Linked DNA regions of Caenorhabditis elegans. The protein of the gene in region 1 interacts with the protein of each later gene in a pairwise test. Each region holds a gene or a part of one and is shown in the gene's direction. Other genes may lie near its edges. The genes, in order: tbx-42, ima-2 and R148.5.

Evidence for each region.
Region 2: the proteins of tbx-42 (region 1) and ima-2 interact in a two-hybrid assay, tested with the Caenorhabditis elegans proteins (one large-scale study listed by BioGRID).
Region 3: the proteins of tbx-42 (region 1) and R148.5 interact in a two-hybrid assay, tested with the Caenorhabditis elegans proteins (one large-scale study listed by BioGRID).

The regions. Positions count from the first base shown.
Region 1 is NC_003282.8:5,232,339-5,235,975, reverse strand, and holds tbx-42 (Putative T-box protein 30/42), read left to right. Parts: upstream 1-2,100; coding exon 2,101-2,297; intron 2,298-2,346; coding exon 2,347-2,533; intron 2,534-2,588; coding exon 2,589-3,131; downstream 3,132-3,637. Other genes in the region: thn-5 (Pathogenesis-related protein 5-like), read right to left, coding at 3,497-3,637. UniProt on the Caenorhabditis elegans protein: Involved in the regulatory network to control embryonic patterning and morphogenesis. Implicated in negatively regulating vab-7 expression at the anterior of embryos.
Region 2 is NC_003279.8:6,313,254-6,317,767, forward strand, and holds ima-2 (Importin subunit alpha-2), read left to right. Parts: upstream 1-1,979; 5' UTR 1,980-1,993; coding exon 1,994-2,089; intron 2,090-2,183; coding exon 2,184-2,519; intron 2,520-2,562; coding exon 2,563-2,943; intron 2,944-2,987; coding exon 2,988-3,565; intron 3,566-3,611; coding exon 3,612-3,816; 3' UTR 3,817-4,014; downstream 4,015-4,514. Other genes in the region: srg-14 (Serpentine receptor class gamma-14), read left to right, coding at 72-434, 911-1,084, 1,127-1,339; hrpk-1 (Heterogeneous nuclear ribonucleoprotein K homolog), read left to right, coding at 4,464-4,511. UniProt on the Caenorhabditis elegans protein: Nuclear transport receptor that mediates nuclear import of proteins, and which is involved in sister chromatid cohesion. Binds specifically and directly to substrates containing either a simple or bipartite nuclear localization signals (NLS) motif.
Region 3 is NC_003281.10:3,164,400-3,171,724, forward strand, and holds R148.5 (PID domain-containing protein), read left to right. Parts: upstream 1-1,885; coding exon 1,886-2,034; intron 2,035-2,537; coding exon 2,538-2,902; intron 2,903-3,875; coding exon 3,876-4,088; intron 4,089-4,934; coding exon 4,935-5,613; intron 5,614-6,073; coding exon 6,074-6,158; coding exon of another isoform or gene 6,159-6,185; intron 6,186-6,442; coding exon 6,443-6,538; 3' UTR 6,539-6,797; downstream 6,798-7,325. Other genes in the region: R148.4 (MARVEL domain-containing protein), read left to right, coding at 7,315-7,325.

The DNA.
Region 1 (3,637 bases):
AAGCAGTGGATAGGATGAGCCAATTGGTATTTTCTTATGAAAACTTCGGCATCATATACATTGCAAATTATAGACGAAGACGTTTCATTGTCAAAACAAATTAGTTTGGTGTTAATTTTGGGCTCTTTGGAATTTTCAGAAACTGTGAAACGTATAAATTAGGAAATATTTTTTCTCAGTTGAACAGTAAGCGCAAACAAGGCATTTTTTAAATAACGTGGCTAATATTTTTAAAAGATATAGTAAAAAAAGAAACACTGACCTAAACTTTTAGCCCAGAAAGTCAAACAAATCGTTATCAAATTGATATTAATCTGAAATAACTCAATACAAATTTGGTATACAATCAAAGCACAAGATTTTTCCTACTTTGTTTTTAAAAACAAAATGAAACATGTGAACATATATGATATTGAACTAATAATTTTCTTGAAGAAACTCAAAAAACCCTGAAAGGTTAAGCTTTTTTTTAACTCAATGTCGGTAAACTGGTTACATTAGGTTATTTTTTCCTCTCAAATTCAAAGAAGAAATTGCAAGTTTGAAAATGAAATGCTACTTTAAGTTTTAATTTCTAATATTTTCCACAAAAAATCCTCGGTCTTGTATTTTAATCTCCTGTTTTTATATTGACCCTTATTCATTTCCCATTGTCTGTCAATATAGTTGTCATTCCAATGATGACAATAGGTGCTTTCGGTAATAATAAGGAATTAATTTATATAAAAATTGGGTGGAATACATTTTGTCAGGATTTTCAGCCTCTGTGTATGTTAAAGATGTGAAATGGAATATTATATTGATCACGGAAGCAACAATAAATTATCCTCCTTTTAGTTATTTTTCATTTTTTAGGCTGAACTGATATTGTCATCATTGGAATGACAACTATATTGACAGACAATGGGAAATGAATAAGGGTCAATATAAAAACAGGAGATTAAAATACAAGACCGAGGATTTTTTGTGGAAAATATTAGAAATTAAAACTTAAAGTAGCATTTCATTTTCAAACTTGCAATTTCTTCTTTGAATTTGAGAGGAAAAAATAACCTAATGTAACCAGTTTACCGACATTGAGTTAAAAAAAAGCTTAACCTTTCAGGGTTTTTTGAGTTTCTTCAAGAAAATTATTAGTTCAATATCATATATGTTCACATGTTTCATTTTGTTTTTAAAAACAAAGTAGGAAAAATCTTGTGCTTTGATTGTATACCAAATTTGTATTGAGTTATTTCAGATTAATATCAATTTGATAACGATTTGTTTGACTTTCTGGGCTAAAAGTTTAGGTCAGTGTTTCTTTTTTTACTATATCTTTTAAAAATATTAGCCACGTTATTTAAAAAATGCCTTGTTTGCGCTTACTGTTCAACTGAGAAAAAATATTTCCTAATTTATACGTTTCACAGTTTCTGAAAATTCCAAAGAGCCCAAAATTAACACCAAACTAATTTGTTTTGACAATGAAACGTCTTCGTCTATAATTTGCAATGTATATGATGCCGAAGTTTTCATAAGAAAATACCAATTGGCTCATCCTATCCACTGCTTTAAATAAATGAATGAAACAGTACAATTTTAAAAAGATTCTATCAAACAATTTTGAAGTCAGTTCAATAAGACTTTCATTTTAACTCAATAAATACCCACTAATTTTGTAAAAAAAAACATATCACTCACATGCTAGTCGTCGTCTTGTTTCCTGTTCGAACTGTATTTTTATAAAAATATAAATGTATCGTATTTGGTATTGTACTAACCCAATTTTTTTCCGGTAAACCTTAATTTCGAAAAATTGTTTCAATTCTCAATCTCTTGTTACTATAACCTTTAATTTCTTATCGTTAATATATTTGTTATTTATTGACGTCTTTGAGAATATGTTAGCTCTCAGGAAATCGATAATTGGATGGACCCCGCCTCCGTGCTCAGACTCCGCCTGCTGTGTGTGCTCTGAAACAAGATGAGCATGGAGGCAGAAAATCATTCATTACAACATTCCGGTTAGAATACAGTTCATTTTTTTCTTTCTTTTTGCTTTTATATATATTTTTTAATTTTTCTATTCGTTTTTAATTTCAGATAAAGGTCTCTGCGATGAATCCATCAACTCAAATCGTTGTGAAAATGTCAAATGAAGAACTATGGAAAGAAAGATATCCAAATATGGAAATGATTTCAAACAGTAAAAGAATTACTCCAATTTTCCCTGAAATCAAATTCAAAATCTCTGGATTGGAAGAAAATTCAAGATATGTATTGGTACTGTCACTTGAAAAGATGGATAATATCAGGTAATTTTGATTATTTTACAAAAATTAAATAAATTCCTAATTATTTCAGATATGGAATAAATGAAAACAAAGAATGGGCTCCATCGTCTGCTCGTAAACCAAAACCACATCATAATATGAAGTTTTTCTTTCATCCAGAAGGAACAAAACTTGGAAAAGAATTGATGGCTGAAACAGTTGAATTCACTTCAGTGAGGATTACAACAAGTGAGAAATTATCAGAAAAGGAGAATGTGGTTAGTTTCTATTTTTATTGCTTTAATCAATTTATTGAAAAACTATTTATTTCAGTTCTATGTTCACACAATGCACAAGTACGTGCCTGTGCTTACAATCAGGAACCTAACAACCGGAGAAATTGCCTCAAATATCTTTAAAATGGAAATTGCTCAATTCTTCCCAGTTTCAATTTATCAGCAAGCTTCCATGGGAAGATGGAAGTCTGATTTGAACAAGCATTCAACTTTTGGAAATAGGTCAGAAGGTGGAATAAAAAGAAAAACTTCTGATGCAGCTGGACAACTACCATCAAAAAGGTCATCGAAGAAGCCTGTAAAGAAGGATGTTGTGGATAATTCTGAAGTTACTCTAGAAGTGAAAACGTCTCAATATCTTGTGAATCAAAACGAGAGTAATCTAACTGAGTATATTCCTTCTTCTCCACTCTATTCATCCCAAAACCAGTATCAATATCCGTTCCATCCATATTCTCCATTTGACTCATCTATCCCATATCCATACTCTCCAATGGATTACTCTTATTACTTCAATCCAACTTTCCAATCATTTTCCCCAGAAAATGTATATTTTGATGAAAATAGAAACCCCCATTAACTACTCGAATAGCCATTTCAAATAATTTACTCTTTTTTGTTCTTTTCATGATTGCTCCCCTTTGATAGTTAATTATTTATTCTTCCTGTGAATATCAATGATTCCCCATGTTTTCTATGTTTGATATCATTAAAATTTCTTTCTTTTGTCCTTTTATATTTGATTTTGTTGTCGATAAATTTAAATTTAACCTGTTTTGTGATTCATTTATTAATTTTCATTCCAATAAGATTTAAAAATTAATTATTATGTTCAGTTAAAAGCACGCTTCAAAAATAAAATCAGGCTGCGAAATTCTGCAGAAATTTTCTGAAAATGCTTTAAAAAAACCCAGAACATTTATCCAGAAATTTAAGCCCACTCAATTAACAAAATTGAACTACATAATTTGCATTTTTACAAGTAAAAGTGGAAGTAGCATCATCATAAGCATAAGAATATGCAGTTGGACAAGCATCTTTGAAAAGCATTGCAGTTCTGCTTTGTCTACATTTGTCAGGAGTTCC
Region 2 (4,514 bases), on another chromosome or scaffold:
TTCGCTGTAAGACCTTTCTGTTTGAATCTGTTGTTTCATTAGGTTTCAAATGGGCACCGTACTTTCTTCAGAACATATCAATTCTTATAACAGAAGGTTTATTTGCTCGTTTCTTTATTTACTTTACACCAATATGCCCTGTTCTCGCTGATTACTTTCAATCTCCGCTTGTTGGGTTTAAGATTATAATGTTATTAACTCATCATGTATCAATTTGTAAATCCCTTTTACAAGTTTTGTTAGTTTTAAATCGAATGACGTGTGTCCTGTTTCCAATAACGCACGATTCAATATGGAGAAAAAGCTTGAAATATGTGATTAGTGCAGTTTTTTTAATTCCATTTTGTGCTGACTGGAATATTGCTATATCTCGAGTTTACATGCAATCCACGTATGGAGGTTTCTGGGTTAGCTATTTCAAGAAAGTTAGCTGGGTAAGTTCATCTGTTTCCATTTCTTTTTTGTTTTAAAACTAAAAGAAACTGAAGAAACTGTTTTAATGAACCACATACAGAAAAATAAAAGATGAACTGGAGAGACCCTTACAAAATAAATGAGTGTGACTTTAAGGATTCCAGATTATACCAAATTAGACATATTACCTCACATGCGAAAAACTACACTTTCGACTGAACTTTTTGTTCAACAGTCTCGGATCCCGAGACGAGTAAAATTTTTCAGCTACCGTACCCGCAACAATGATAGATCATCAATCTTTCTATTTGTCATTCTCTCTTTTTGTGTTGATCATATTTCTAGAATTATGCGTTTTTTAATTCTGAAATATTGAAAAGTTCTGGGAAAACGAGAAGATAAGCGGGTACAGTAACCCAACACACTTGTTCGTGACAAGAACTGAGGCTGGGAGCACATTAAATATGTACATTATATTTAATATTTATTGTTTCAGGCAAGCCAATCTCGTTTTCAACTTGTTTTTATTATTATTGCATTATCATTTACATTTATATGCACTGCAATTACTTTGTTAAAACTTCCAGAAAGATCAAAAGAAATAGAAAAAGCAATCTCTAATGCAACGGTTATCATATCCATTGGGTTCACTTTTAAAGTTTTATTTCAGGTTATTAACTTCTGAATTTTAAAAAATATCTAGAACATTCAGATATACTACAGCTTTTTCTTCTCATACACTGATGCATCAAGCCCCGTTTATGGATTTAGCTTTTTAGCTCTAGACTTTTTAACTGTTGGTTCTCCAATTGTAATGATATGTGTTAGCAGAAATCTTCGAACTCACATTTTTAAAAGTAAACGAAAAAATCAGACACTGTCAAAAATGTTAACTAGAACTTCCGGAATGGTGATTGCTCGTTGAACTTTTTCGAATAAAGTATTGTTTATTCAACAGTATGTTTTATTCAATCATGTTGAAATGCATGCTGCACCGTTTTTAGAACTACGGTAGATTACTGTACAATTAAGGTTAGATATATCGTGGTATTTATATTGGAGTTTGTGTTTTCTGCATTTTTCATTTTTGTAGGGCTAGAAAATCTATATATTTTCGGAAGTATAAATCTTTTCCTCAAAAACATTCCATGAATACGCATTAATGCGATTTTTTAAAAGCAAACAATTCGATTTTAAGTTACCGCCAAAAATCAGTTTGGCGCCAACGCTCTTTATTGGCGCCTTATTCGCTTCAACATTTCGAATTTCGGCGCGAAGGTTACACTTTTTGATAACAATTTTGGGCCGCGGCGCTCATTTCTGCTTTCATCGCCCAATGTTTCCTCCTTTTCTTTCTTAAATAGTTTCACCACTCATTCTTTTCAACTGAATTTGTAATATTCTCATGAAATTTTAGTTCTGTTTAACTAGTTCCCATTTATCTCGTTGCGAAATTTATTATTAAAAAGTATGGAGGTGATTTATTCCGAACTTTTTCGAATCAGAAACTCCTACTTTTTTCTAATAGTGTTATTTTTGTTTAATATTCACATAAGTTCTTCCAGATTGAAGCTTAACTATGACTCTCACCGAAACCAGCCTGTCTCACAATGCCGAAGAGGGAAAGGATGAGGGAGGCCGCCTTCAACAGTACAAGAATCTCACCAAGCATGAAGTATGTTAAATTATTGATAACAGATTTCATGCAAAAATGTTACTATCCGACTTATTTAAAGTAATTGCGAGATTTATTTATTTGTTCTGTTCAGGAGCTCCGTCGTCGTCGTACTGAATGCAGTGTTGAAATTCGAAAGCAAAAAGGAGCGGACATGATGATGAAACGCCGTAACATCGTCGACGTCGATGAAGGTGGCAATTCGGAATCGGAGCTCGAGGAGCCAGAGAAGATATCTCATCAGCAATCATCAACCCGTTTGTCAAATGATGAGATTAGAGCTATTCTCTCCAACAATCCATCGGAAGATGATATGGTTCGATGCTTCGAGTCGTTGAGAAAATCACTATCAAAGACGAAGAATCCACCTATTGATGAAGTCATTCACTGCGGTTTGCTTCAGGCTTTGGTTCAGGCATTGAGCGTTGAGGTAGGTCGATCTTTATTTCCATTCAATAATTTCCAATTTTCAGAACGAGCGTGTTCAATATGAAGCAGCTTGGGCTCTTACCAATATCGTTTCCGGTTCCACCGAGCAAACAATTGCAGCTGTTGAAGCCGGAGTAACAATTCCACTGATCCATCTTTCAGTTCATCAGAGTGCGCAGATCTCGGAGCAAGCTTTGTGGGCAGTCGCTAACATTGCTGGAGACTCATCTCAACTTCGTGATTATGTTATTAAATGCCATGGAGTGGAGGCGTTGATGCATTTGATGGAGAAAGTCGATCAACTGGGAGATTCGCATGTTCGTACCATTGCATGGGCATTCTCCAACATGTGCCGTCATAAGAATCCACATGCCCCATTAGAAGTTCTTCGTGTTCTGTCGAAAGGTCTTGTCAAACTTGTTCAGGTAATTGTCAAAATGTTCGATCGCAATTAACGTCTTCACTTTAGCACACGGACCGTCAAGTCCGTCAAGACGCATGCTGGGCTGTTTCTTATTTGACTGATGGACCAGATGAGCAAATCGAATTGGCACGAGAAAGTGGTGTGCTTCCTCACGTCGTCGCTTTCTTCAAAGAAGCTGAAAACCTTGTTGCTCCGGCTCTCCGAACTCTTGGTAATGTTGCAACTGGAAATGACTCGCTGACACAGGCGGTTATCGACTTGGGATCACTCGATGAAATTCTTCCATTGATGGAAAAGACGCGATCATCAAGCATTGTGAAGGAGTGCTGCTGGTTGGTGTCCAACATTATTGCTGGAACTCAGAAGCAGATTCAAGCTGTCCTCGACGCAAATCTTCTCCCAGTTCTCATCAATGTTCTGAAGTCGGGAGATCACAAGTGCCAGTTCGAGGCTTCTTGGGCTCTTTCTAATTTGGCTCAAGGGGGAACAAATCGTCAAGTTGTCGCCATGCTTGAAGACAATGTAGTGCCTGCTTTGTGCCAAGCCCTTCTTCAAACTAACACTGATATGCTGAATAATACTTTGGAGACTCTGTATACTCTTATGCTCACTGTTCAGAATGGGTATGTTTTTATTAGATAATTAGCACTCTCAAAAATGTGATTCCAGTTACCCTCACAAAGTGGACATTCTTCACGACCAAGTCGAAGAGAATGGTGGACTTGACAGTTTGGAGCGCCTCCAGGAAAGTCAATCGGAGCAGATCTATACTCAGGCTTACCGCATCATCACTCAATTCTTCACCGACGATGATGCTGGAGAGAAGGAGTCTCATGAGAATGCCGATCCACAAGATAACAAATGGAGTTTCTAAATTATTTCACACTTATCATCATTCTAGTAGTCATTTCATAGTAACATTCTTCTTTCTCACATTTAACATTGGATTGTTTTTTTTAGAATTACCCTCATCTGTGTGTATTACCCGTATTTATATTTGACCCCGTTTTAACTGATCTCTTCACTTTAAATTGACAATTTGTTTAGAATGAAAAGAAAGTGGAACATATGATTTTTATAACCGGGAAAACGATGCGCGTATTTTTCAATACGCATTCATGTTTCTTTGTTGAACTGTTCACTCGCTAATTTGAACATCCGCGTTTTTGTCTATGTGTTCGTCGCGGGACCCATCTGAAAATTGTCTGCGCCTTTAATCTGGACTCAATATCCCTTGTTTTTTCTTTTCTTCCGGCTGAACTGAAATGATGCCTTTTGTCGTTAATTTTAATGATTTTATCACGAAATTTGAAAAATAATTTCCACTTGAAGCATTTGTCACAATAATGTTTGGTTAGGATAACAAAACTTGACAAGATCCGGCTCATAGTCCTAAAAAAGTTTTTTAAACTTCTTCACAGCTATTTCTCGGTTACTTCAAATTTCTCAGCTTTTTCCAATAATTAAAATTCAATATAATTCGTTAAATCACACATTAATTGCAGTACATCCAAACTCAAAATGATGATCAAAGTGGGAGCCGCTATTAATGGAACAGACAGTCCGAAGGTA
Region 3 (7,325 bases), on another chromosome or scaffold:
GAACCAACTGAAACAAATTCAAGTTTTAAAAGATTTAACCATTTTCCCAGAATGTTTACACCCCATGTACACCATCCCATTACTACCTTTCCCAGCAGTTGTTCTTTTCACTTTTACCATCGTTTTCTTCCCGCATTCGGTAGTCAACGGATTTATGAGGGAGGGGAAAAAAGTTGCCGGGCGTTTAAGTTTTAGTCGGTGAAGCCGCTTGTAAATCCGCTTACAGCCTTTTCTTATTTCCACTGTACTTTTGGTGAACGATTTGGAAATCGTTTTTGTTGGTTAAATCAAGTTTTTTTTTTCAAAATTTTGAAAAACCTCAAAATGTTTATTTTTATTATCACATTTCTCTATTTTTCATTTGATAGAAAATTTTACGCTGATAATTTTTGGATACTGTAACTTTTTTGTATCTCCACCCGTTACAGAGATAATCGCCTTTAAAGTTTGAAGAAGAGATATCGTGGGAGGGGGAGACGCAGAGCCTCCTACTTCTCTGCGTCTCGCCTCCCCCTCTGCTCTCTCCATGTAGCTAACTTTAAACGGGTGTAACTTTGCAGTGGGTAGAGTTTTCTGAAAAGTGCCAACTGGTAAAATGTAAGGAATTTTGTTTAGATTATTTTGCTGTCCGAAAAATAGAGATTACTAATTTCAGCGAAAAATATAAAAAAATATAGTCCTCCCAAAATTTCTTGATATTTACGACAAGTTATATAGGAAATTTTACGCCGATCATTTTTGTCTCTTGCAACTTTTTTCGATCTCTATCCATTACAGAGATAATCGCGTTTAATGATTGGAGGAAGAGAGAATGTGGGAGAGGGGAGACGCAGAGCCTCCAACTTCTCTGCGTCTCTCCCCCTCCCACAATATTTTCGGAGGTTTAGCTTGAAACCTCCATAACTCTGCAACAAGTGAACATTTTTAAAAAGTTCCAATTACAAAATTGTATAAAATTTTATGGGGCATTATAATATTTAGTGGAAAACATAATTTAACCCAATTATAAATGTACCACAAAGTAGTCGGCCTAATCCGTGATGACCTCCTGTCGGGAAGTGTTTATCAGTTCCAAGATATCTCACTGATAATCTTTTTTCTTTCCCCCTCACCGAAGGACACTCCTCATTACAATGCCCCCTTCGTCTTCTTCCCGCACGTCTTCTTCCATCCGTATCGTCATCCTTGATCTCTTGTGGAGGGAAGGAATGTGTTTATGTCAATCCACATATATATATTGTTCCTTTAGACACTATTACTTACTGCTAATAACCAGTATCCATTACTAGTTTTTTTTCTTGGAGAAAGGGAGAAGCTTCTACTTGGAACTGTTTTTTTACTCTCTATGGTGAAAGGTTGTTTTTTTCTTCCATTTTATGTGTTTTCTACCAATTTTAACGTTTTCCTCTTGTTTTTTGTAGGCTCCTTTTTAGGCTCCTCTTAACTTTTTTCCAATTGGTATTTCAAAAAAGTTTTCACTGCAAAAATATTCTCCAAAAATTCTGCACATTTTACCTGTTAAAACTTTTTTATTAGCTCATACTACTGCAGAGTTATAGCCGCTTAAAGTTAGCGCGCCTTCTCGCGGCGAGTGATCGCGGGGGGAGGCGAGACGCAGAAAGGCAGAGCGTCTGCGTCTCCCCCTCCCCCACATTCTCTCTTCCTCCTAACTTTAAGTGCAAATATCTCTGCAATGGTTAGAGATAGAAAAAAGTTGCAAGAGACAAAAATGATCAGCGTAAAATTTTCTATCGATTGGTCAAATAAAAACTGCAAAAATTTGAAAAAATTATTTTTATTTAAGAAATTTTTTAAATTTTTTTCTGCCCGCACATTTCTCTTTTATTTTACGCTACTTTTTCCCAAAAATTCCAATACATTCCAGATGCCTTTGCCATTGTGCAGATGCCGAGTGTTATACATCGGCAGTTCGGTGCCTACAATCACAAAAGACGGCCTACAAGGCATCCAGCAGCCACTGAAGGAGAGATACCCGATTCAAGAATCGCCAGATACACGTGGAATTGACTCATGGTAAGAGTTAAATATTTTTTATTTAAAAATTGAAAATTCAGCTTAATTTTGTGGTAAGAATTCAAAAAAATATTGAAAATTAGTTGAGTTATTGCTTTTTGAAAAAAATTTTTTTTTTAATTTCCAAAAAATTCGAAGACGCGAGTTATAAAAAAACAATTTTCAAATTCACATTTAACACGCTTTGAGCTTTCAAATAAAACCCATATTGGCTAAATCCCGTTCATTTCAAAATTTGGGTCCCGCCACGAAAACGAAAATGTTTGGGTTACTGTGCTCTATTTTTCTGAATTCTCATTATTTAACTAGTCGTCATATTTTGGCTAAACTCCGATTAATTTACAAATGTTGGACCCACCACGAAAAGTTGATTTTTTTTTTTGGCGCATGGATGTGTCAAAATTCAAAATAGTCGGAATATAGTCATGATGGGGCTTAATTAAAAGCTATTTTTAAGCTGAATTCAAAAATGTTATCAATAACTTAAAAATCTTAATATCCAGGCTATCAGTGTGGTCGAACGGAGTCCTTTTGGAGTACATCGAAGGCGAAAAGAAGACTGAAACCGTCTTTTTCCCAATTATAACTCTCCATTATTGTGCCGCCGTTCGTTACGTAAATGTGGAAGGCTTCAAAGTTGGCGGTGGTGGAGAACAGTTTATGCCACTCGACAGCCCATTCGCGAATATCCCAAATTCCCCACATCCGCCAATTTTCGCGGCAATCTTCAGAAGAACCACTGGGGTTAAGGTTCTCGAATGTCATGGATTTATTTGTACAAATGTGAAGGCAGCAAATGCATTGGTCAGGTGTATGGTGCATGCCTACACAGAAACTATGCATTTGAGAATGGACGAGAGGATTCCAGGTGAGGCTGTTTGTAACCAGAATATAGAAAATTTTATGACAAATACTTTCTTAGTGAACACTTTTTTATAAAATCAAATATATCCAAGATATAAGTGGTTAAAGTGGAGTGCGGTGGTTCTGGTCGATGCACCATGTTTGACTTATCACTTTGATTGCTATATATCTTGGTTCATTTTTTAGATATCAAGGAATTTATAACTACAAAATTATAGAGCCGAATATAAATAATATTTTGTCAGTTTATAATTTTTCCTCAAACCAATGAGAATCGAGATACAAGCGTTCAAAGTTGAATGAAGTTTTTCTGGTCGATACACCATGTTTGAATGATGACTTTGATTGCTTATATCTTAATTCTTGTTTGAGTTATTAAATAATTTATAACTACACACATTATAGAGCAGAATATGAAAAATATTTTGTCAGCTTATAACTTTTTTCTATGTCAACTGAAAATTGAGATACAAGCGCTCAAAGTTGAGCGCAGTATTTTTGGTCGATGCACCATTTTTGAATGATGCCTTTTAACGTTTATAACTCGGCTTATTCTTAAGTTATCAAATAGTTTATAACATCACAATTATAGAAAAAGATATAACAAGCATTTTGTCAGTTTATAACTTTTCTCTAAAATCAATGAGAATCGAGATACTAGCTTGTAAAAGTACTGGACTTTGGCGGCTCATATCTCCTTTCATTTTGACCCTTTTCTCAATTTTTTTCACAACAATGTAGAAATACATTTTTCAATATTTTGTCTGTTGTCACTTTTTTAAATAAAACCAAAGACAACCAAGATATAAGCGGTAAAAGTTGAGTTTAGTATTTCTGGTTGATGCACCATGTTCAAAATGTTCCCTTGGCAGCTCATATATTGGTTTGTTTAGAAAAAACATGTATATTTCGAAATATTAGAAAAATGTCTATTCATCATAAAATTGAAAAAGATAAATTTCAAAAAAAAATTCCAGGTCTAAAAGCAATCAAGGAAGGATCAACTGGTGACCGATCACCAAACTCCCCGTCCAGTGAGATTGAGGAAAACTCATTTGAGGAAGATGTAGTCCCGGAGGAGAAGAATATGAAAAATTGGCAAGAAAGACGGCAGCAGGACGGAGAATATGATAGTGTGTCGATTAGCAGCAGTTTGGTGAATAAGAATAAGAAAGCTGCTAGTGAGCAGGGTAGGTGACTTAGTATATTGAAAATATCTCTGTTCGTTTTTAAGATATTGGTGTTTGCTAAAATAAGTAACATTTGTGAGGCAGTGCTAAAAAATTTGTCAGTTGTCAATTTTCTAGTAAAACTAAAGACAATCGAGTTATAAGCTGTCAAAGATCAGCTAGCTCGATGCACAATGAGCAGACCTAGCTGTAACTGATCATATCTCAGTTCATTTTGAAGTTATTAAATTCTTTTTCAGTGCATTATTATAGAGAAATTTATAATAAACATTTACTCAGTTGACAATTTTTTGATAAAATAAACGACAACCGAGTTCAGCCAAATCAGCCAAAGACAACTGTTACGATGCACCATAAGAAAAATCGCGCCAAGCTTTGAGAGCTTATATCTCCGTTCATTTTAATTGAGTTATTGTTTGCAAAACTATAGGTATAGAAAAAATAATGATAAACATTTTGTCAGTTGACTAAATTTTGATAAAAGAAACGACAACCGAGTTATAAGCTGTTAAATGAAGGGAAAATTGATGCACCATGTACAAAACGGTGCCAGGTTTTGATCACTCATATCTCCGGTGATTTTTAAGCTATTCAGTTTTTTTCAACCGCAAAATTTTAGAAAAACCAATATTAAACATTTTGTCAGTTGGCAATTTTTGGATACAACAAACGACTACCGAGTTGTGAGCAGTCAAAGTTGAGCTAACCTGAGGCACCATGTTAAAAACGTTGCCTACCTTTGATTGCTCAAATTTCCGGTTATTTAAAAAAAAACCATAAAGATTTTGTCAGTTGACCATTTTTTGATTCTCTATTTTTTTTATTCTCTAATATTCTAATTTTCAGGCGGCATCCGCGGAGCCCTTGTCCCGTTCGACGAGCCCCTCCGCCGCGCTGGCTCCGACAATGATCTCTCCTATCGTGGACCCCCACCACATCATCCATACGGACCTCCTCATCCGATGCACCATCCCTATGCAATGATGCCTCCGCCATTCGGCTTCTTCCCTCCACCGCCACGTGGACACTTTCCACCTCCTCCACCACATTTTATGGGTCGAGGTATGCCCCCACCATTTATGCCTCCACCACCACATTTCGGTATGGGACCACCACGTGGATTTATGCCGCCCCCGCATCCAATGATGTTCCGAGGTGGACCATACCCGCCGTTCTTTCCTCCACCACCACCACATTTCATGAGGCCTAGTAGCCCACCGACTGATGGTGGACCAATTATTACTGGGCCAGAGTCGGTTTATGGGACAATGCGTCGAGGAGCTTATGAAGAGCCAGCTTATGTTGGAGCAACTGGAGGATTCCCGGAGGCTAGCTATCAACCGGCTAATTATGGTGGAGATGGTTATGAGACATATTATGATACATTCAAGAAGCGAGGAACACTGAAGAAGGGGGAATCGGCGTCGATGGCTTCCACGAGAGCCGATAGCGCCTGGGATCAATATGAAGCTGGGATCTATAGAAAACCACATATCAATGAGAAAGCTTTTTCGGGAACTTTGAGGTAAGAAAAGTTAAGATTGAACGGAAATTCACAGAGATAAGAGCATTAAAATTGACTTTGTGCATGGTGCTTTGTACATCAACTAGCAATACACTTTCTCAGCTCATATCGCTGTTCCGGTTGGTTTTATCAAAAAATTGCCAACTAACAAAGTGTTTGTTATGAATTTTTCTATAATTTTGTAGTTGATCAAATTTTGATAGCTCAAGAATCAGCCGAGATATGAGCAAGTTTTAAACATGGTGCATCGAGCAAATACTTTTTTACCACTTATATATTGGTTGCTTTCGGTTTTATTAAAAAAATTACCAACTAACAAAATGTTTGCTATTAATTTTCCTATATTTTTGTAGTGAAGCAAGTTTTGGTAAAATTCAAATGAGCCAAATGAGATATAAGTTTTTGAAGCTCAATTTTTCAACATGGTGCATCGATAGTGATTGATAACTTCAAATTCCAGATCAATGGCCGCCAAGGAGACAAGTAACGCTACGCTGAATCGATCGGAGCACGCCGAAGTTGCATCGCAAACGGTCGAGACGGAGGTAATTGGTTTTTTATTGATTTTCTAGTGAATTATCGATTTTTTAAATCATCGATTTTCAAGGAATTATTCGATTTTCTAGGAAATTACCGATTTTTTGGTAAATTAATCGATTTTTGGGGTAATATCGACTTGCTGAGAATTTATCGATTTTTCTTAGAAAGTGTATTCTAGAAATTTATCGATTTTCCGAAAAATTATCGATTTTTTGGTCTTTTTTTGGTACAATATCGACTTTCTGGGAATTTATCGATTTTCTCAAAAATTATTGATTTTTTTTTGCAGATAACCCGCCCCGACTCTCCACCAGTTGACTATGAAGCCTTTGAGAAGATGAAGCTAAAGGAAAATAGCCGACGCGCTGCCCAGCCCACTAATTAATGAATATTTTATCGATTTTTTCCCCTGAAAACCCATTTATTCTTTCTTCCATCCACTACAAAATTCTATAATAAACCGCCAATTACTGGTCTTGACAACAAAAGGAAATTGTTGAATTTTATTGTAATTTTTGAAAAATTCTTAATCTAGAACTGCCCCTGCCCCCTTTATTGTGCCTTTTTCTGTGAGTATTTTGACATATATTTATAATAAGCCGCATTCCTTGAATATTTATATTTAAAATAAAAATCTAATAAAAATTCAAATTTTTCCGAAAAAGTACGCAAAATTTCGTCGGGTTTGATGTATTGTACGCAATTTGCAGTTTTTGGGAGAATCGAGCGGTAGTTTAACTTGCGTATTTATATTTTTTCAAAAAACATGAAAACCATCAAAACTTGCGTTTTTGAGTTGTATTTTGATTGGAAGATCACTGGATTTCGCGTAAAATATCAATTTACGTCATATTTTGAGCTTTTTATAGTTTTGCTGAATATTTACTGCAAGACTAGTTTCTCTGTTTTTCTCAGTTTCCCCACAACAAAAACCACTTTGTTATCTGAAAAATCCATCAAAATCCGCGGATCAATCCGCAAAAATGCTGCAAAACTAGTTCTACCGTACCCATTCAAAGGCGCATTCGAAAAGATATTGCAGCGGGTCTCGACGCGAAATCCGCCACCGTATCCGTTTCTAGCGCGATTTATGAATTTAAAACCGATTTTAATTGATTTTCAACAGATTTTCGCCGATTTTTCGGCAGAAAATCGATTAAAATGTCAAAAGA